Cricetulus griseus: one gene and its partner. The protein of the gene in region 1 purifies or fractionates together with the protein of each later gene. This does not show direct contact. Links are inferred from orthologs where the notes say so. Each region holds a gene or a part of one and is shown on either strand. Other genes may lie near its edges.

What was found. The genes of interacting proteins can lie anywhere in the genome.
Region 2: the proteins of Phlpp2 (region 1) and Slc9a3r1 purify together in Homo sapiens (co-immunoprecipitation; 3 studies listed by BioGRID and IntAct, with this or other methods). This does not show direct contact. The link is inferred for Cricetulus griseus from reciprocal best matches to the Homo sapiens genes PHLPP2 and NHERF1.

Annotation. Positions count from the first base shown.
Region 1 is NC_048596.1:186,236,066-186,246,753, forward strand, and holds part of Phlpp2 (PH domain leucine-rich repeat-containing protein phosphatase 2), read left to right. Parts: intron 1-854; exon of another isoform or gene 855-874; intron 875-4,570; coding exon 4,571-4,857; intron 4,858-10,688. UniProt on the Homo sapiens protein: Protein phosphatase involved in regulation of Akt and PKC signaling.
Region 2 is NC_048600.1:127,783,210-127,793,897, forward strand, and holds the end of Slc9a3r1 (Na(+)/H(+) exchange regulatory cofactor NHE-RF1), read left to right. Parts: intron 1-2,309; coding exon 2,310-2,471; intron 2,472-3,248; coding exon 3,249-3,402; intron 3,403-5,038; coding exon 5,039-5,079; intron 5,080-6,034; coding exon 6,035-6,124; intron 6,125-6,345; coding exon 6,346-6,537; 3' UTR 6,538-7,217; downstream 7,218-10,688. Other genes in the region: Nat9 (N-acetyltransferase 9), read right to left, coding at 9,047-9,283, 9,376-9,479, 9,614-9,673, 10,475-10,618. UniProt on the Homo sapiens protein: Scaffold protein that connects plasma membrane proteins with members of the ezrin/moesin/radixin family and thereby helps to link them to the actin cytoskeleton and to regulate their surface expression. Necessary for recycling of internalized ADRB2.

The DNA of each region.
Region 1 (10,688 bases):
ACTTCTGGACCCTAAGGGTGTAGCTGTGGGTTAGGAGTGAGGCTCCATGGTAGAGGGTGTGCTTTGAATGTACAAGGCTCTGGATTTACTCCTTGGCCCCAGCTTCAAAATACTGATTTAAAAAAAAAAAAAAAGGAAGAACACTTTTTATTCCTTTTATATTTACACTCAATACCAAATCATGAACATTATTCTCAAGTCTTCATAAAAAGCATGACATAACTATGCTAACATAACTTATCCAGACTACATGAAGGACCATCTGCCTGTACTGGGCATTGGAACATTTTATTCAAAATATACTCCTAAACCAGGGAGTATGTTCAGAAGGCTAACATGAGAGATCATTTAAGCCTAGGGCAGCCTGAACAACATAGTAAGAGTGTATCTCAAAGTTCTAAAATTTATCAAATTACTGAACCAGGCTCAAAAGGTCTTCAGGGGGTTTTGGAGAGATGGCTCAGAGGTTATGAGCACTGGCTGCTCTTCCAGAGGGCTTGGATTCAATTCCCAGCACCCACATGGCAGCTCACAACTGTCTATAACTCAAAGTCCAGGGGATCTGACACCTTCACATCAATGCACATAAAATAAAGTTAAATAAATTTAAAAAAAGGTTTTCAGATATTTCCTGTGATTTTGAGATTATGGTTTTGTTAAGCAGGGGATGATAGGAAGTTACAGCCAATCTAATTTGTGATTATTATGATTTTTTTTTTCCCCAAGACAGGGTTTCTCTGGCTTTGGAGGCTGTCCTGGAACTAGCTCTTGTAGACCAGGCTGGTCTCGAACTCACAGAGATCCGCCTGCCTCTGCCTCCCGAGTGCTGGGATTAAAGGCGTGTGCCACCAACGCCCAGCCTGACTCTTAAATTGTAAGTCTTTGTATACATGTTTGATATGATATGTGATTATAATTGTGTTCACTTTTGGGTAAATTTGTGATAACAGCTTTTATAAAAGTAAAGGAGAAAGGAAAGTGTCTTCAAATGAGCAGTTTTAAGCTAGTTGATTCTTAGAAGTTGAAGTCTTCTTAGAGGACAGTGTCACCTGCAATGTTAAGTTCTTTCCAGCAGTTCCTCATGTGTTAGTCAGTAGAGCAAGACATTCCTGAGAAGGAAGTACTAGGTAATTTAGCAGTGCTAATAATAGCCCAACAGTCTATCTTTGTTATTGTTGCTGTGTGTCTTTGCTTTGCTTTTTCTCAAGGCCTTTTAAATGGCTATTGGTGAGGTGCAGATGAGAGATAGATCTTGAAATGACCAACAAACACATGTGTTTTGATAACATAAAGTTCTTCAAGAAATTCATAGTCTTAAAGGAATATATGTGCACATTTACACATGATTGCTGAAATCCTCTGGAAGGTGCTGATGTGGCGGCATACATTATAGTCCTGCACTTGGGAGATGGAGTCTGCAGGATAAAAAGTCAAGGCTGGCCTCACCTACAGAATGATTTTGAGGCCAAAATGGGGTGCATGAGCCTTCATCTCAAACAAACAATCCTTGGAAGAAAGTTCATAATACTTTGGGGACCTTTTGGACTTTTCTAAGACCGTGAAGGTCAATGGGTCATTATTTGACCTACATTTATATATTTTTTTAAAGATTTATTTATTTATTATGTACACAGTGTTCTGCCTACATGTATGTCTGAGTCAGAAGAGAGCACCAGATTTCACTACAGATGGTTGTGAGCCACCATGTGGTTGCTGGGAATTGAACTCAGGACCTTTGGAAGAGCAGGCAGTGCTCTTAACCACTGAGCCATCTCTCCAGCCCTACATTTATATTTTTATTGTTATTTTTGTATCAGGGTCTCACTTTTTAGGTCTGCCTGGTCTCGGTCTTCCTGTCTCAGGCTCCTAAGTTTGGGCATTACAGGTATGTGCATTATGCTTGGCTTTTAAAAAGCCAGTCGTGTCAGTGGTATGTGGATTGTGTCTGCTTACTTTTCGTTTTTTTTTAAGGGTGGGGCGCAGAGTCTCTTTGTGTAAATGTTACTCTGTCACATAGAACCTGTTAGTCTCCATTAAAAATTAGAAAATAAGACTTACTCAAAATTATCTGGTAGTTAACTATTCAGTGGTTATAATTTCTTAGTGGTATAACACGATGGCTCTCATATGTTTGAGATGAGCACTTGAAAGCCCTCTTTATTGATTCTGAGACATTTAAGCTGAGATTCAGCATGGAGGATGCATTTGGTAGGAAAAGAGGCCTCATTCCCACCTGTGTCAGGGCTTTATTCTGTATGGGTTTGAATAGTTATAAGATCTTGAAGAGCTGCAGAAAGATATGTTTAGGGCTGAAAGTGTTACTCAGATGTAGAGAGCTTATCTGGTATGTCAAAGCTTGTGTTCAATCCCTAAGACTGTTTTTCAAAAGCTAATTTACCTGTGTTATCCTAAATTGAAACTGTAAGGGCATTCGTCCCCTTGTTTTAAATTCATCACATGTAGGATACCTGTTTACTTACCCTTATTTTTACTGCTTACTGATGAAACCACATTGGTCTTGAACTTGATCCTCTTGCCTCTGACTCTCCAGTATCTAGCATCTGGGATTACAGGCATGTATCTCCATGCCTGGCTTAGTTTACAGTTATTCTGAAGTATTTACTCTCAAACTAATATTTTCTTGTTTATATGTATTTCTGTTTTCTAATGAGGAATACTAGTGAAAGTGTTTTTCTTTATTTTGACTTTTAGGTAAAGATTAGATGGTTTGTTACAAAAATTGATACTTTCTTTTTAAGTTTATTCAATTCTGCATCATAGCTAATTGATGAAGCTAAAATGCAGATTGGGTATCAATTCCTGTGTTGTCACCTGGGCCTGACATTCTGCAAGAAAAACTTTCAAGGGTCTCGGTGGTGAAGAGATTGAGAAACCAAATGATTACGATTCATGGTCATATGGGTATAGTAGAAGTATATTCAAGGTGAAGATTTCTCTTGAGAGGAGAACCATTGATGCTAGACATGGGTGAGAGCTGCAGATGGCTCCAAAGAGAACCTGACATCTCAACAGAGGTTTGGAGAGTAAGAGCATGTGGATAAGATGGAGAAGATGTGCTACTTATGCCACAGAGTGGTGGAATGGTTAGTGTGCTCAGGGAGAGAGGACCGAAACAGCAAAGGGTCTAGGAAGTCAGTGGAGATTTATTTTTTTGTTGACTAGAAATGACCCATTGTGAAAATAACAGGCAAATGGTGACTTTTAGAAACTGTTTGTTTCATTTCTGTTTGTGTTTTGAAATAGTCTCAGTATGTGGTCCAGGCTGCCTTGGAACTTACCTAGGCTAAGTTGTCCTTACACTCTAAAAATCCTCCTTGCTCTTTGGCCTGACTGCTGGATTATAGGTATGCCTTACCATGCCTGATGGAAATTTTTATATTGGCGCCTAACAGTGTTTTGCTTTAAGATAGCTTGACTTCACAGTATGTATGTGAATCTCTCATACTGTGGTTATAAAATACTAGCAGTAATTGTTTTGAAGCATGCCGGGAATGGCAAAGATATTTGTGTTATGAGACTGTTCTTAGTGCTGCATTCGTTTATTTGGACTGTGAGGTTGAGAAAGTCTGTATTTGTGTGCAAGTCTTAGTTTATATGTATCAGATTCAATCTGAAGTGAACTAGTAACTATTATTTCTATTTTTTACTAACTAAAAATACTTTGGAAATAAAGAAAAACATCATATATCAAAATTAACCAGACCCAAAGACTATACAGTGAAATAACCTTAAAAGACCCATTCCAGGGAGCTGTATCTGCCAGCTTAGTCTCTACCCCCTAAAAGTTCCCAGCTTCCCTGAATACCATATCAAGCGTGTGTGTGTGTGTGTGTGTGTGTGTGTGTGTGTAGATTTGAACTAAATAAGTTAAAATGTTAAAATTTTTCCCAAGGCAAGTAGTATGTCCATTTTGTTAGCACTTTCCTGAAAACAAAAACGGTTCAAACGAGATGATGGATGGAGGCCTAAAGGAGGTGTATTAGAGGAACAGAGCTGATAAAACTGATATTAAAGGGGATTTGTTAGATGGATTATTATATATTGGTATTATATAGTGCCGATAGTTCAACAATGACTGTCTCTCAATGAAAGGCTGAGAAACTGGTAGTTGTTTGAGCCCAGGAGTCTGGGTGTTTCAGCAGTCCCAGTCTGGTGCTGGAGTCTGGGAAGATTCCTGAAGAGCTGCTGGTTTTTAGTATGCTGGAACCCTGAAGAAGTTGTATTTAATACCAGCCACAGGAACAGGGTAGACAAACTTGCCAGCAATGTGCTTTTGCTGATAGACAAAAGGAAAGTTTCCTTCTTCCGTGTCCTTTTATGAGGACTGCCACGAGTTGAGACCCAGATTTAGGGTGGGTCTTCTTACTTCAGTTAATCTGTTTAAGAAGATCCCTTATTGGAGTACCCGGCATCTTGGTGTTAGTTAATTCTAGATGTAGTCAAGTTGACAACGAAGATTAGCCACTACACAGGGATGAGTATATGGACTGAATACATGTAATTCAGACAAATGTTCTTATTTATGATTTCTTTCTCTTGGTATTTTTAGAGAAATATGAAACACAATGGGAGCAGAAATTGTTTGAATAGAAGAAGTAGGTTTGGTTCTCGAGAAAGAGACTGGCTGAGAGAAGACGTGAAGAGAGGCTGTGTTTACCTTTATGGAGCAGACACGACCACTGCCACTACAAACACCACCTCTTCCTCCTCCTCCACATCCTCCTCCTCTTCTGACTTACATCTTGTCCTTTGCACAGTAGAGACACCAGCATCAGAAATATGTGCTGGAGAGGGAAGAGAAAGTCTCTATCTACAGCTTCATGGAGACCTGGTCAGGTGAGGTCTGGGGCTTTTGTCCTTTTTTTGTTATTGATGTTTTGAGTCAAGAGTGGTCCATCCGTCCCGTGTCCCGTGCCTCATGGTCGTCTCAAACTCACAGTTCTTCTGCTTCAGCCTCTTAAGTGCTAGGATTATAGGCATGTACTATTACACTGAGCTGAGCTTAGCTCTGAGTCTTGACAGTGATTCTTTTGTAGGATTAGTAACCCGTGTTTCTGATTGGAAGTGGGCTTTAGGGTTATGATCACATTCTGTAACTGATGGTGATTTGGAGTCACTGGCACGAACAAGATTTGCCCTTGGAATACTTAATGATTTTAAAAATTACCATTTTGTTTGTAGTGTATCCACATGTTTATGTATGTGCTTGTAGAGGGCCAGCCAGCGGTTTAGGTCACATGTTTTCCTCTCTTTTTGAAGATTTTTTAAAAAGATTTATTTATGATGACAGACTTTAAAGATCCCTCTTGGAAGGCCTCACCGTCCCTGAGAGAAGAAAGGGGTTGGGATGGGGAGGGGAGAGGAGGGGAGGGAGAGGGAACTGAGATTGACATGTAAAAGAAGCTTGTTTCTAATTTAAATGTATTATGTATACAGTGTCTGCATGTGTGCCTGCAGGCCAGGGGAGGGCACCAGATCTCATTACAGATGGTTGTGAGCCACCATTCGGTTTCTTGAAATTGAATTCAGGACCTTTGGAAGAACAGGCATCTCTCCAGCCCTTGAAGATTTATTTTTATTTTTAATTATGTTTAGGTGTACGTGTTTGTATGTGTGCTTGTGCACAGGTGCTGCCTGACTGGGTGCTGGGAACCTAACTTAGGTCCTCTGGAAGAACAGCAAGTGTGCTTAACTGCTAAGTCATCTCTCCAGTCCCTGTTTTTTGACAACTGCTGGACTGACTGGTCCATGAGCCTTGGATATCTGCCAGTCTGTGCCCCATAGTACTAGTGTTCCAGGCACACGTCAGTCATCACACCTGGCCTGTGTGTGGGTGATGGGGCTCCAAACTCAGATCCTCTTGCTTACATGGTAGATACTTTACACAACGAGGATTGTCCCAGTCTCTTAGTTTATGATTCTCGAGTTTAACACTATAATGAAGGAAAGCTTGATGGTTCTTCTATTTGGAATACACTGTAGGTCTTATATACAAATTTAAACATTTTAATAGTTACCTTTTGGGGAAGTATAACTAGAAAAAAACTGAAGTGTACAAAGGGTACAGAGTAAAAAGTCCTTCTCTGTCCACCATTCCCTAGCTGTCCAGGCCTTTTCATTGTTACTGTCAGGTTCTTATACATTCAAGCATACACATGCTCGTGCCTCTACATCCACACTTTAAAAGCAATGATGCTGTATACAAAACACTGTTGACTTAATAGCTGAAAGGTATTTCCATATTCATATTTATATAAATATAATTTATTTACTGACTACATGACTATTCTACTTTATAGGTCACCATAGTTTTAGTTGATCTTCCTAATCTCTCATTATGGATATTAACCTGCTACCTGTTTTTAGCACAGCAGATAGTGCCATGGTTGAATTCCTCTGTACCTGCTATCTCACAGAGGAGTCTCTGGAGGGTAAGCCCCTAGAAGTATAATATTCTTGGTCAAAGGATATGACCATTTATAATTTTGATAAATATTTCCAACTTCTTCATAGAGGTTATATTTCCATCTAAAATATAAAAAAATATGGGGCTAGAGAGATTGCTCAGCAGTTAAGAGCATTTGGTTGCTCTTCCAGAGGATCTAGGTTCTTTTCATAGCACCTACATGGTGGTTTCCAGTGCTGGGATCAAAGGCATGCACAAGCACCACCAGGTAGCATTAAGTGTCTTCTGTAAGTGCAGACACATACTCTTGAATGAGCTGAACCTGCTTATAAAGGATCATAGTTATCAGTTTTTGTTTGATACTTTATTTACTTAAGGTTCTGGGTTTAAACCCAAGACCTCAACCATATTAGACAAGCACTGTATACTGAACTATGCCTCTAGCCTTTGTTTTAAAATTAGAGAATCATGAAGTCAACTTTTCAAAGACAATCATTTTCCAAGCCTTTTTGGAGCTGAATAGGAAGTTTTTTGTTTGTTTTTGAGACAGAGTCTCGTATAGCTGAAACTGGCCTTGAATTCCTGATCCATCCTTCTTCTACCAAATGCTGGGGTCAAAGGTGGGCACCATAACAGGCTCAAATAGGCATTTTTGCCATTCTGTTGTGTTAGTATTTATTAATTAGTGAATTTGAGCATATTACACAAGCTTAAAAGTAGTTTGTGTCATAAATTTTTATATAAATATGAAGAAAAATAGTCTTGTAGTTTTGTGCTGTGCATCTGAACTTTTTAATTCAACTTAAAAACAAAAGCATTAGTCCTGTAAATGTTTCATTACACTTTTCTGTCCTTCCTAGAAAGAATTCCAAGCTGTGGATTGAGCATTATTGAAGTGTGGTGGGGAAGTGAAGCTAATCACACCTCAGAGGTGTGATAATAGTAGTAACACCTTTAGCTGAGCCAAAAGCTGATGCCTCTTTAAAAGTGTGAACTGAGGTTTACTGTGTATTCCTTTTAGGATCTGTAGGAAATCCTGAAAAAAGTAGCTTAGCATTTGAATGTTTTCTCTGTTCCCAAGTTAACTACATTTCCTAAATCCTTTTGTGAAACAAAAGGATCAGACTGGTGATCCTTAGGCTCTTCTAAATCTTAATACTGGTCTGATCTAATTTTATCAGTTGGAAAGCCTTGACCTAGATTATAGCAGGTAGTGATGGATGGTGCTCACTTATTTAGGCAGATGACTTACTCATTTACTAATATTTGCATTAGAAGATGCCATGAATGTGAAGAAACACCCCTCATTACTTTGTTCCCACTAGTTGTGTAATTAGTTAAGAATTTGAATGTGATATAGTTTATTTACATATGAGAATGTAAACTGTAATTAAGGTGGAATGTTTATCTTTTGTTAGCCCTGTAGTTTTGATAATTAATAGTGAAGTGTATCTCTTTGAAGATACAGTTTATTAGAAAATACTGAAAACACTGTTGAACTCTGGATGGATAGAATGGGTATGCTTTCATTACTGGAGTAAGAGCTCCAGACTTGACATTTGAGGAGGAGGAAGAGGCTTCCTGGTCTCAACTAACTTTAAGTGCTTATTTGTGCTAGTTGGTGCTGTTAGCATATATTCATTTTCTCATCACATCTTTACAAGAACTTTGATGTAGTCTTCTTCCTTTCATGTGAGGAAAATTGATGCTTTGAGATGGTTCAATGACCAGCCCAAGGTCAGGCAGATACTGCTAGACAGTTGAAATGACTGATGGACTTCCTTCAGAGTAAAAGGTCTTGGAGGAGAGGAGCTGGCAAAGCAACTCCCCTTATCCAGTTTTACTGCCTAATCATGTTTGCCTCATTAGATCTCTTCTAACTTAGTGGTTAATTGCTTGAGTTGGTCTTCTATTATCTAATCAGGAGTAGGTCCTTTCTTCAGAGTAGCCCTTGGTAAAGTAGTTGGTAATCGCTGAGGCAGTATTGTTTTTTTGAGAACCTTTCCTACTGATCACTGCTTGTTGAAGAAATTCTGGAAAATGAAACAGCATAAAGAAAAATAATAATATTCGCTGTGTATGCTTTATGTAGATTACCTCATTAAATCCAGTCTTGTGAAGGAAACTGTTTCTTTTGTGTAGGCATAGTAAGTGATATCTGAGAGATTACTCTTAGCTAAGAGTGATCAGCCAGAAAGTGTTTGAACTGTAGTTTGAACCCTGGCATTCTACTAGAGTATGAGATCCCATCCTCACAACTTATATTGGTAACTTTTATTTTTCACCAAATAATTTACAATCACACACATACGTTTTAATAATTGCATATTTGAGCTCATATCATATATCCAATTTTATATCCTTATAATTCTTTTAGTATAAGATCATCTTAATTTTATTGTTATTAAGAATTTGACTTTAGACACGAGTTTTAATAGTTTAAGGCTATTCTATATTACAAGTATATTATAAGTTGTTTAAAAATTGAGTACTGGGGGGAAGGGAGATGACTCAGCATGTAAAGGTACTTGCTGCCAAGCCTGACAAATTGGATCCCTGGTACTCACATAGTAGACATGCATACCATGATGTGTATATACACATATGCACTAAAACAGTTTTTGCTTTTTTGTTGTTTTTTTTTTTTTGGTTTTGTTGTTTGTAAATGGAGTTCTTAATTGGTCTAAGTAATAAAAACCCGGAGTCAGATATAGAGGAAAATGCTGAGAGATCAGAGAGAAAGAGCAAACCACCACCACACCTTAGCGTCTCAGCAGACAAGAGAGCAAGTTGCTGTTTCTCCCTGCTTATATCCTGTTTTTGGACAGCTACCTAACTTCCTGTCTGTCTGTACAGACCTCCAGACTTCTTTGGTCAGCTAGTGGCAAGTTCTATTCTCTAACCTTCAGACAGGCTTTATTTGTAAAAGTAAGATATCACCACAGTTGTTGTTTGATACAGTTTTTCTTTGTGTAGCCTTGGCCCTCATGAAACTCACTCTGCATAGCAGGCCAGCCTCAAACTCAGAGATCGGCCTGCCTCTGCTTCCCAAGTGCTGGGATTAAAGGTGTACCCCACCATCACCCAGCTCTCCCCACCCCTTCCCCAGTAAAGCTGGGTGTGTTGGCTCACAATTGTGATACCAGTACTTGGAAGGTGAAGGCAGGAAGATAAGATTTCCTGGTCACCCTTAACTAAATATGAAGTTGGAGCCTAGCCTGGGCTGCCTGAGACTTTATCTCCAAAACTGAAAAAATAATTGAAATTTAATATATAGTAGAGGCTTAGTTTGGATTATGGAATGAAAAAGTGTGATTCAAATCTTGTCCCTGACAATTTACCATATATGTACATAATGTTCAGTGTCTTAGGGTTTGTAGAATGGAGAATGTTTTCATTGTTTATCATGAGGATTAAATCCATTGCACCTGCTATGAAAAGTGGTGAATTACTTGTAACACTTTAATAGTTCCTCCTAGGAACCTTGTTAAAAATATAGATTGTGATTCAGAAGATATAGGATAGTCTGAGATCATACTTCTAATTTGTTTGATCTGTTGGTTTTTGTTAGATAGGATTTTCTATGTAGTCTTAATTGGCCAGGTACTCTCTGTTGCTCATTGTAGCCTTTAGCTCATGGCAGTCCTGCCTCAGCCTTGCCTTCTGAGTGCTGGGGTCACAGGTATTCATCACCACTCTTGACTTTTGAGATTGTAGCCCTACTAAACTCCTAAGTGATGCACAGCACTGTAAGTATCAATGAAATAAAGCACTTGGAATGTTGTCTGGTACCACCTGATCAGTACTCATGCGTGGGCTACATGTGTGCTAAGCATGTGCTCAGCCATTGAGCTATTTTCCCAGCCTGTGCTATGTAGGTTGTTTCAAATCACTCAACTCTTAGAAGTAATATGCACTAGCTAAACCACTGCTTGTAACTTGGAAAAAGTATTTCCCTCTCACTCTGTTTGTTTATTTAGTTTACTGTTTTCTTCTTCCAATAATGGGCTTATGTGATGGTTTGAATAAGAATGGCCTCCACAGGTTCATATATTTGACACTTATTCACCAGGGAATGGCCCTATTTGAAAGGATTAGAAGGATTAGGAGGTGTGGTTTTGTGGAGGAAGTATGTCACTGGGGGTGGACTTTGAGGTTTCAGAAGCCCATGTCAGGCCTGAGTCTCTCTGTGCCTATGAATCAGAATGTAGCTTTCAGCTGCTGCTCCATCACCAGTCTGTATGTGGCCATGTTCCCCATC
Region 2 (10,688 bases), on another chromosome or scaffold:
AGGAGGTGTGTGGCTAAGGTAGAAAGCTGAGCCCGTCTGTCCTGGTGGCAGCAACTCGTCAGACCTGTTCAGCTCACCTAGGCAGCCTGGGGGAGGGCCTGTGGCAGCTTTGTGCGGGGATTAGCTGCAAGGAAGAGACTCCTCACTCCCGGAACTACATGGTTCTGGAGGTGGGGGTGGGCTCCTGGAGGGGCTAGGTCACAGCAGGTGAAGGGCTGGATAGGCTGAGGGAAGGAGGGGCCTCCTGTGGTACCCTCTTTTTGCTACTCATTTGGTTGTCTTTGCTGTTTGAGGTGAGGGGTCTCTGGGATCTGGGTAAGTAACCACTATGGAAAATCCCGACTGTCACCTTCTGTCTTCTGGACTCTTTACATTCCTCACCAACATCCTGAACACAGGTACACAAAGCCTGCCCAAGCATTTTTTTTTTTTTTTACATCTTTAAAATTTACTGTGTGAACATATGTATTATGTTGTGTGGGGTGGGAGTGCCATGGTCATAGGACAACCTGTGGGAGTCACTTCTCTCTTTCCACCCTGTGGGTCTTGGAGAGCAAACTCGGGCTGAGCTTGGCAGCAAGTACCTTACCCCAACCAGCAATCTCTTCTTTGGGATGGCAATGCTGGTAAGGTGAGGCTGGAGGCCCCAAAGCTTTCCCTTTACTCCTCCCTCCTCTTCCCCTCCCTTGCCTTTTGTACCCCCAGCTGAGGATTTGGGTTTCAGAGCAATCTAGCCACTACCCTCCCCAACCCAGTAGTATCTCAGAGTTACATGCTTGTTCCTTAGTAGCAAGAACAATGGCAAAGTCCTGGTATGCTTGGGGACTTAGTGAGAACAATGGCAACATCCAGGTCTGGGCAGGCACTGGGAAGTTCAAAGTGTGGCTTTATACTGTGTCATTGGGCCTCAGCAGCAACCCAGAGAAGCAGGTAGCAATAAACACCTCTAGAAAGGAAGACCCTGAGACCCAGAAATGGAAATGATTCGCCCCAAGTCACAAGCTAGTAGGAGCACTTTGTTGCCCCATAGGGTAGGTGGCAACTAGGGTTCCAGCCAGTGGAGAACAGGCTTGCCCCAGGCTTGGAGTTGGGGTCAGGGTGGAGCTCGGGTAGGGCTTGCAGAGCCTCCAGCTTCTGTAGGCTCGTGTCCAGTGTCTGTCCATCTGTCAGCCTGTGTCATGAAAGCATCAAGACTGTAGCTTCAGAGCTGAGCTGCCCAAAGAGGACGGAAGATATTGAAATTGTCCCAGCTAATGCCAGGGTGCACAAAAGACACTAGCTTATGTCTTTCAGGGGAAAGAGGGGTGGCGGTGAGATGGCTCAGTGGGTCAAGGCACTTGCCACCAAGTCTGATGACCTGACTCCCAATTGTGAAAGGAGAGAACCAACTCTCACAAGTTGCCCTTTAACCCCGTTTGTGGGCTATGTCATACTCATGCTCTCTCTCACACACACTAAATAAATAAATACTGTTAAAAGGAAGAGGCCAGGCGGTGGTGGTGCACCCAGGAGGCAGAGGCAGGCAGATCTCAGAGTTTGAGACCAGCCTGGTCTACAGAGTTACACAGAGAAACCCTGTCTCCAAAACAAAACAAAACAAAAAATCAACAACCCAAAAAGTAACAGGCCCTGCTTTCCAGGCCACGGTCTGACCACATTGGCCCAGCCCTCTTTCATGGTCTCCTCCCCATATGAATCCTTGGGGGATTAGACACACACACACACACACACACACACACACACACACACACACACACACACCTCTGTTGCTCCCTATATCCTTGGCTGGATCTAGAGCTAAAAGTCCCATCTACCCCAGGACTCTTCCCCCAGCCACCTGCTGGGTTTCAGGTTATCAGGGTCACATTTGGCTGGGCCATTTGGCTCACTGGAGTCGAGGAGGGAGCCCACTAGAGATGAAAACCTTTACTGTAAACAAACTGGCCAGCTTTCAGTAAACAGCTATCCATGCTCTCACAACAGAGAACAGATACAGGGGCCAGGTGCCCACTCATGAGTCTCAGGTGCCCAGCCAGGCCTAGGAGGACCAGATGAGCCGTGGGTGGAAAAGGATAAGACCAAACACATGAGTAGTAGAATCCAGGAGGGAACCTAGCCCAGGCAAGACGGTGGCTCACCCAGAGCCAGTCGGCTTACTTCAGTGCTAAGTGTCTATTCATATCTGAACCCTGGGCCAGATTCTCTTGCCTTGCTCTGTGGGCTCCAATCACCACTGGAGGAGAGTGGAGTTGGAGAAGGTGGTATTGGGACATTGTGGAATGACATGGCTGCTTCCTACATCCCCACAGCGTGAGCTCCGGCCTCGGCTCTGCACCATGAAGAAAGGCCCCAATGGCTATGGCTTCAACCTGCACAGCGACAAGTCTAAGCCAGGCCAGTTCATCCGAGCAGTGGACCCAGATTCCCCCGCAGAGGCCTCTGGACTCCGAGCCCAAGACCGCATTGTGGAGGTGATACCCTGTACAACATTCTCTGTACTCTCCCAGGCTCTTCCTTCCTGATCTTTGCTGCTTGGGGGCAGCCTCGTACCGTCTGTGGTTTGATTAACCCATGGGATGTGGGCAGTGCAGACAGAGGTGCTGGACGGTGGGCAGCTGCACAGGTAGAGTAGAGGCACAGAAAGGATAGGTGCTAAGTGGTAAATGGGACTAGACAGGCTTAATGGTTCTGCTTTACCAAATGCACACTCTACACCCAGGATTTATCTGCCAAAATCCAGGTAGATGCCAGAGGCCACCAGCACGGCCTTCCTGATGCCTGAGCACTCTGGGCCAGGCACAAGGATGGACCCAACACCCTCTCCTGAGTTCAGCTTTGAGACACTGTTCTTCGGCTGTGCTCACGACAGAGGAAATGTGAACTAAATGCTTGGGCTGGTCCCAGAATCACAGTGTGAGAACCTTAGAGCCACAGATCAGCTCTTCCAAGACTTCTCACTTTACACGTGAGAAAACCAAGGCCCAGAGAGGGAGGTCAGAGGAGAGCCCAGCCCGGGCTCCCAGGCCTCCCCTTGCTCACAGCTGTGTTTGCATAGTCTCCTCTGGGTATTTTCTTTGGCGCTTCCCATTTGTCTTGCTTCCCAACTGACTGTCAGAGAACTGCTGGCTGGCTGGGTTCGGGACTAGGCACATGTGGGGATTCAGCATTCCCGGGTGGGACCTCTTCCACCTGCCCTCCCCAGCACTGAGACCTGTGTGGGTGACCCCCGTCCCTGCCCTGCCTCACAGGTCAATGGTGTCTGCATGGAGGGCAAGCAGCATGGGGACGTGGTATCTGCCATCAAGGCTGGAGGGGATGAGGCCAAGCTGCTGGTGGTAGACAAGGAGACTGATGAGTTCTTCAAGAAGTGCAAAGTGATCCCGTCACAGGAACACCTGGATGGTGAGTGCACAGCTGGGTGTGTGGCCAAGTGCCTAAGACTTGGCCAGAAATGGGGGGTAGCTTCTCGGATTGTAAGGAGAGACCCAATAGCACAGGTTGGAGGAGAGTAGAAGCTGGGATGGGCCATGAGCGTCTAAAGGTGGCAGCTGATGGTAATTAACCACAATTAACATGAAGGAGGGATGAGATTCAGTACCAAGCACGGCCTGGGCCTCTCCCTAGTCCAGTGAGTTCTCAGACTGACGGTCCCTCTGAGAGGAAAGAGTTAACTCTGGAGCAGCCTCCAGCCTTTGCTGGGCAGATCAGAGTCCAGTGACAGGGGCCCAGTGCTCCCCTCCCCCTTTGTCAAGTTGCCTTGGAAACTCAGGCTTGCTGGCTCTGGAGAGTAGTGGGTCCCCTTCAGTCCCTGGGCCCCTGCCCTCTCCCCCTCCCCCACTCTCATCTTGCCAAGCCTGGCACCTCTTCCTGTTCAAGCCAAGCCAAAGTGAGTAGGGCCACCACACCACACCACACAGCAGGAGGGGCTGAGCACCCCTACTCCTTAGTCCAGACTTTCTGCCTGGGAAGATGGCTCTGGAAGTGTGCTCTGTTGTGCTATGCCGAAAGTGAAACCTGTCTGGACTTTGCAATGGGTTCACATAGCTCAGATCTCCGAGGCGGATGCAGTGTGGAGGATTCACGGGTCTCAGAACCTAATATACAGAGGCACCACACCATCTTCACTAGTCTCTGGAGGTGGACCAGCCTTCCCCCAAGCCGAAAGCCGGGGGCTGACTTTCTCTCTCACTGGCCTCTCCTGACTCTGCTCAGGACATTGCCTTTGCACCTCCTTGTCCCCTCATTTCCAGATGCCAGACAGTTGCCATTATTGTCTTTCCAAGGCAGCAGGTGCCAGCTATATAATCTGAGGTGTGGCCCTAAATCTGCCTTCAGCCCCTGAGAGGTGTGAATACCAAGGCCCAGCCCTGCCCTAGGGTGGATGTGGGTGGAGGTCAGTTCTCTCTTCTACCATCTGGGTCCTGGAGATCCAACTCAGGTAATCAGGTCACCACTGAGCCATCTCTCTGGCCACACACAGGTGATCTGTTTTTTGACTGGCTACCCTAGAACTCCATCCCATCTTAGCGCTCCTGCAAGCCTGGCATCTTGGCATTCTGGGTCAGATGTCAAGCTAGGCCCAGAAAGGTAGCTCAGTGGTAGAGCACTAATTAGTATACGGAGGGCTGTGTGTTTGGCCCCCAGCACTGCACCAAGTATTACTGTTAAAGGGAGCTGTCTTGTCTATCACAAGTTGCCAGTCAGCATCAAGTAGCCCTCCTCAAGTGTGATCCTCCTATGCACACACCCAAAAAAGTTCCTCCAGTTTGCCAAATGAGACATTGTAAGAGTAAGTTGTAGTTGAAAATACCAAAGTATGGCACTGTAGTGGGGTCTTGTTTTCTGAAATTGTCAAACAATCTTTCTGGGCACTGGGTCATCAAAATGTCAAATTACATACAGTAGGTTTCAGCCAAAAACACTGTGGCCTTTGACCTCCAGTATGAGGTCTGGTGAGCTGCCCAGGGCATAGCTCTGGCCTCCTCTGCTCTCCTTCCCCAAAGTCTTTAGACTGACCTTTGCTGTCTCCCTCATCTAGGCCCCTTGCCTGAGCCCTTCACCAATGGAGAGATACAGAAGGTAAGGGGGTCCTCTACCCACTTCTCAATGGGGACAGGGAGAGTGGCAGCATGGTTGGGAGTCTGGCTCAGGCTGACACATCAGGGTCCAGTTCCAGTTTCTTCCTGAGCTCCAATCCATAGGACTGCCAGGGTACCCCAGCCCGTCAGGGGTAAGGCTATCACTTGGGAAAGGCTTGCCTGGGGCCCCTCGGCAGCCCCCGCCTCCAACTCCCACCATACAGAAGAGGCCATTCTTCCCCCCAAGAACAGAGCCTCAGTGTCTGGCTGTTGGTCCTGCTACTTCCAGTCTGAGTTGGAAGAACAAAGTCCCTCCCCTTGGGCAGAAGGGAAGGGGGTGAGGCTGGGAGCCAGCTGAGGCCATGGAAGGACCCAGGAAGGGGCTGAGTGCCAGGCTCACGCCCAGCCAAAACCTCTACTCTGGCATGGGCTGTCTCAGAATCAGACCACAGAGCCTGGAGTTGGCAAGAGCACTTTGAAGGCTTCCTTACTCCACAGGGACCTAGTGGAGACAAGAATCAAGCCATGGTCCCCACCTTTTGCCACCCATCCTTGGTTCTAGAACTTTCTGTCATCTTATTCCCTAAAGACCCTGGTTGGCTACTTTGGGGTTAGGACCTGGAGAGGGCTGCAAGAGGTTAAGGGATTGTATATGCTCCTCATGCCTAACAGGAGGACCTTGGTGGTCCTGTGCTCCAAGAAGCCCCTCTTGGGTTGCTGATCCAAAAAAAATGAGTCAGCGCTCAAAAGCTCAAAAGCGCTGGGGAGGATGAGAGATTCCACAGTCCCGCCCCCGCCCAGGTGATGGCTGGGACCAGGCTGCCCCAATCCTTTTAGGAATGCAGCAAGATAAATCTGGAATCTGGGTGGGTGGCCAAGCCTGAGCGAGGACCCTTCTCTCGTAAGGGTTCTTTTCTCAGCCCCTGCCAACCCATACTTTTTCCTTTCTGTGCCAGGAGAGCAGCCGTGAAGCCCTGGTAGAGGCAGCCTCAGAGAGCCCCAGGCCAGCCCTGGTGAGATCCGCCTCCAGCGATACCAGTGAGGAGGTAGGCAGGCCCTGTGGGGGCTGGTGGCTGAGTTACAGGAAGCCATTTCCAGGCCACTCTGGTTCCTGGCACACTAGCCTGCCTTTGAGGTCACATGGGGAGGTGCAGTTTGTTCTTGTGACCTGGCTACTTTGACCATGGCCCCAAGGGATCCACCTCTCTGAGGCCAAGGACCGGGGAGCCCTTAGGGGTAGACACTGACTCTTTCCTCCTTTTCACAGCTAAATTCCCAAGACAGTCCCAAGAGACAGGAGTCTACAGAGCCCTCATCTACCTCCTCCTCCTCCGACCCCATCTTGGACTTCAACATCTCCTTGGCTGTGGCTAAAGAGAGGGCCCACCAGAAGCGCAGTAGCAAGCGGGCCCCGCAGATGGACTGGAGCAAGAAAAATGAACTGTTCAGCAACCTCTGAACACCGGCCACCCCTGGCCAGCGCTGGAGAGTGGACCAGCACACCCACCCACCCACCCAACCTAGCTCCTCCTCCTCCCCCAATCACCCACCAATCAACATTCAAATCAGCATCCCCCCCCCCACACCTTCCTGACACATCTGAGTTTCCTAGGAATTCTGTTCTTGCCCACCTTAGGGAAGGGGAAGGTTTCTGTCCCATCCCCTTACTCCTCCCTGAGGGCTTCATCCTACCCAGTGTACCCCCACCAGTCTGCCTAGGACATCACCGGGACCTGCACCAAGTGTGGACCTTTGGACCTCCCTCGACTACATGTGATGACCAAGTCCAGGGCTGACCAGGGACTTGACTGTTGCAGCCATTGCTCATAAGGGTCAGGGTGCCCAAGGTCCTCACAGCTATGGTTTGGCCTTCTTAGGTCCATTTGATTTTTTTTTTTTTTTTTTAGAGTGTAGCACTGCAGAATTTAGAGGGGCTCTTTTAATGATTCTTGTGATTTTCCTGGTTGTTTGTACCCAGAGCATGGCAACAGCCTCATCCTTAAATTTTGGTTTCTACTCTCACCCTGAACGACCTGGGTGGCACGGGGAAACCCTGGCAGCCTCTGCCTGTACTGAGCCAGGTGCCACCACTGTAAGGACATGTCTTCAGAAATTCACTGGTTCCTTTAAGCAGCCTGAGCCTGTGTGTCTTCCTTTGGAGCTTTGCCTCATACCTTCAGGTCTAAGAGAGTGGGCAGTGAGCAGTACTCCTGGAGGACCATCTAGGGCTCCCTGGAACTCTAAGCGGGAGTGACTTTTCATCTACGCAAAAGTCCACAAGGCCCTCCAGTTCTGTCAGGGCACCCTGGTACATGGGACAATAGGGATGTGTATGGGGACTGGGAAGGGGAAGCTGAGATCCACACACAGCTAGGGCTCCAAGGCTCCTCATTCTAGATGTGTGCTACAAGTCTTACTACTACAGAATTGGGTTCAGGATGTGAGGATGGCTTTTGTCCCTGTCCTGTCCCTTCCTGTCCTGTCCAGCTGTCATCCTCATCCATCCACCCCCCCACCCCCGCTCGCACCCCCACACACAAGGGGTACAGGATTCTCAGCAGTCTGAGCCTGCCGCAGACACCCTCTTATCTGCCCAATGGCCTGATTGGAAGGCACATAAGCAGCACAGGAGAAAACTGGTCCACTTAGCTGCAGGGCACATTGCCTTTCTGCCAGGAGGCCCTTGAATACCCAGACTGCTGGACCAGGTCCTGGGACAGGTGTTCAAAGATGAAGGGGAGGTGACTCCATTCACTGATTTCACAGAAAGACCACTTAGAACCAGGTTGCTGGGCTGAAAGGAGCAAATGAGGAAGACAATGGCTCTGGGCGAGAAGCCCTGGAGCCCTCTCTCTGGGTTGGGAGAAGGGCCATTCACTATCTGGCCATCTCAGCATTAAGGTCTGGATTCCAGCAGCTTTAAACCATCCAGAGCCCTTATCACAGTCCCTATCGTCTTGTACGTGCCTGCTCAGCTGGGCCTGGCCTCCCTCATCCACCCACACTTCTACCCTTTGACCCCAGGTGGAGGCCCCCAGGCTGGTGTAGCAGGCCTAAGCATTGCCCCACAAGGCTTGAAGAAGCCCCTCCCTACCTCACCTGCTGGGGTGGAGAAGCTGTGGGGGACCTTTGGCTGGAAGCTGGACCGGAACTCCTGGCTAAGGTCTGGAGCAGAGTCCAAAAGGAGCCAGTTTTAACCCTTGCGATCTGGGGTAAAGATGTCAAGACCAGGACCTGGAGGTCTTGGTAAACTTTATGCAAAGACATCTCACAAATGCACTTCTAACCTCTGTCAGAGCTGTTTTGAAAATATGCCTGGCCTTTCTTGGTGACAACCTCAGATAACGACAGGGTATGGGGACAGTTAGAAGTCAAAAGCTTGAGGGGTCGCACAATGTGACACCCTCCTGCAGACCCTAGAGAACTTTGCCAGCGGACTGTCCATCCCAAACCTGTGCCTCTGCTGCCCCCTAATGGCCAGGTTGGATGCAGCTGCTGGAGACAGGGTAATGAGCTGACAGGAAGGGGAAGAGCAATGGCCTCTCACCTGCAGCAGGCTCCAGGCTTCTCTGACAGGGATGCTCCCCAGACACAAGGAGCTGTATCCAGAAGTCCTCCCCTCAGACCTGTCTGGCTCCAAAAAGCTGAAGGCAGGACCAAGGCCAGCAGGCAGAAGAGCCAGCCCCCTCCTTCACAGGTCACCTATCTTGCCAGCTGACAAATCCTTGCCAGGATTTAGCTACCCTGCCCCAGCCGTCAGCATGAGAAGGATGAAGGAAGGAACTAGGGAAGGTGCCTAAACGAGTGTTTTACTCCACCGGGACCCCAGGAAAGGCTGGCTTTCTGGCTCCCAGTTCCCACGTCCACCCTAGCCTCGGTGGACTCCAGCCATCTGTCTGTTCAGTGCAGCCATAATCAGGCCGGGGAGACTTCCTGGCTGCTGCCAGCCAGAGGAGGCCCAGGTGGGCTTAGGAGGGTCTGGAGCAGCCTGAAGACACTGTACATGACTCTCCCATGCAGCTGTCTGGCCTCGGGAGTGGGTGGCTCCAGGTCTGCTCACACAGGGTGGCTGCCACAGGCTCTGCCAACTCGACTCTATAGGGCTTCTCCTCCACGTGGCTGGTCTGCTCCAGAAGCCACTGCCGCTCTGCCTCAGTCACTGCCAGTCTGAGTGTCACCTCCTGGAAGACGTTGCTCACTGCCACCTGTAGGAGCCCGGAGAGCAGACCTAGTGTTAGAGCCGAGTTCTAACACCAACAGCTCTACTTCCCTAGGCCTCCCCAATGGATGCCCTTACCTGCTTAAAATGTAGTTTCTGGAACATCCGGATGCTAGGCTCATTTTCTTGCCCAATTTTGGCCTCAAACTTGGTCAGACCTAGCTTCGTCACTCCTCCAGAGTCATTGGGAGAAGGCAAGCAGTAAGATGAAACCTCCGCTCTTCTAGCCCCCTGCCCCAGTCTGCCATCCGCTGCCTCCCTTGTGCCCGAAGAAGGCACAGCTAAGGCTGACCCACTTGCATTAACTCTGGCTTACCATAGGACATCATCAGGAGAGACGCCTCGGTGCCAAGGCCCTGGCCCCTGCAGCTGGGCTCTAGGAGAAAGGACAGTGTGCTGGGACCAGGGACCAGGGACCAGGGACCAGGCTCCAGTATACTTTACAGGCACTGGGTCACTGGTATGCCATCGGAAAAGAACAGCACAGGCAGTGAGAGAAGGAAGGCATGAGGCTCCCAGCAATCTGAGCCCCCTGTTCCCTTCACCAGGGAGCTCTTGGGAAAAGCAAAGGACCAAAAGATGCAGAGGCAGAAGGGGCTCCTCCACAGCTTCTGAATCGCTTCTCTTTGGAGGATCCCCTCCTAAGCATAGAACAGATGGAGTTTTGGAGACTAGAAACTCAGCGGTTTTGGGATGGGGAGATGGTGGCTCAATGGTAAAGTGCTTACAAGGAAGACCAGAGTTTGATCCCCAGAACCTGTGTAAAAAGGCCAGGTGTGGCAGCATGCATTTGAAGCCCAGTACTGGGGGAGCACAGCCAGCCAGCCTAGTCTACTTGGCAAGCTCCAGGCTGATGAGAAACCCTGTCTCAAAACAACTACAAAAACAAAAAACAAACACAACCTGAAAAGATGGCATTGCGGAACAATAGCACATATGCAGGCATGCGAGCATGCGCGAGCGCGCGCACGCACGCGCGTGCGCGCACACACACACACAGAGGTTAAGTTCATACCAAGTATATGGGAGAAAGTATGAACCCAAGGGTTAATCACTATGCTGGGTGTGGGACAGGATAGCAAGCTGCCAGTCAAGAGCTAGCTGCGCACAGCTGACTGAGCTACCCTGGGCGCCTACTAAGTTCTGTGAAGTTCTGGCTAGGCCAAGTGGGACAAACCTGCAATCATGACCTCGATCTCCCCCAAGGTGGGGTCTTCCAGATCTGTGAGGAAGAGGTTCACATCTCCCACCATGCAGCTCTCCTCAGGGGGGCGAGGCTGGGCCTGCCACTTCTCGGCATCCAGCACAATGAAGGTGCACTCTGAGGGTGGAGGTAACAGTTAGGGCCTGCAGTCTTCAAAGGAAAGAGGTGAGGATGGTGTTCCCACCCA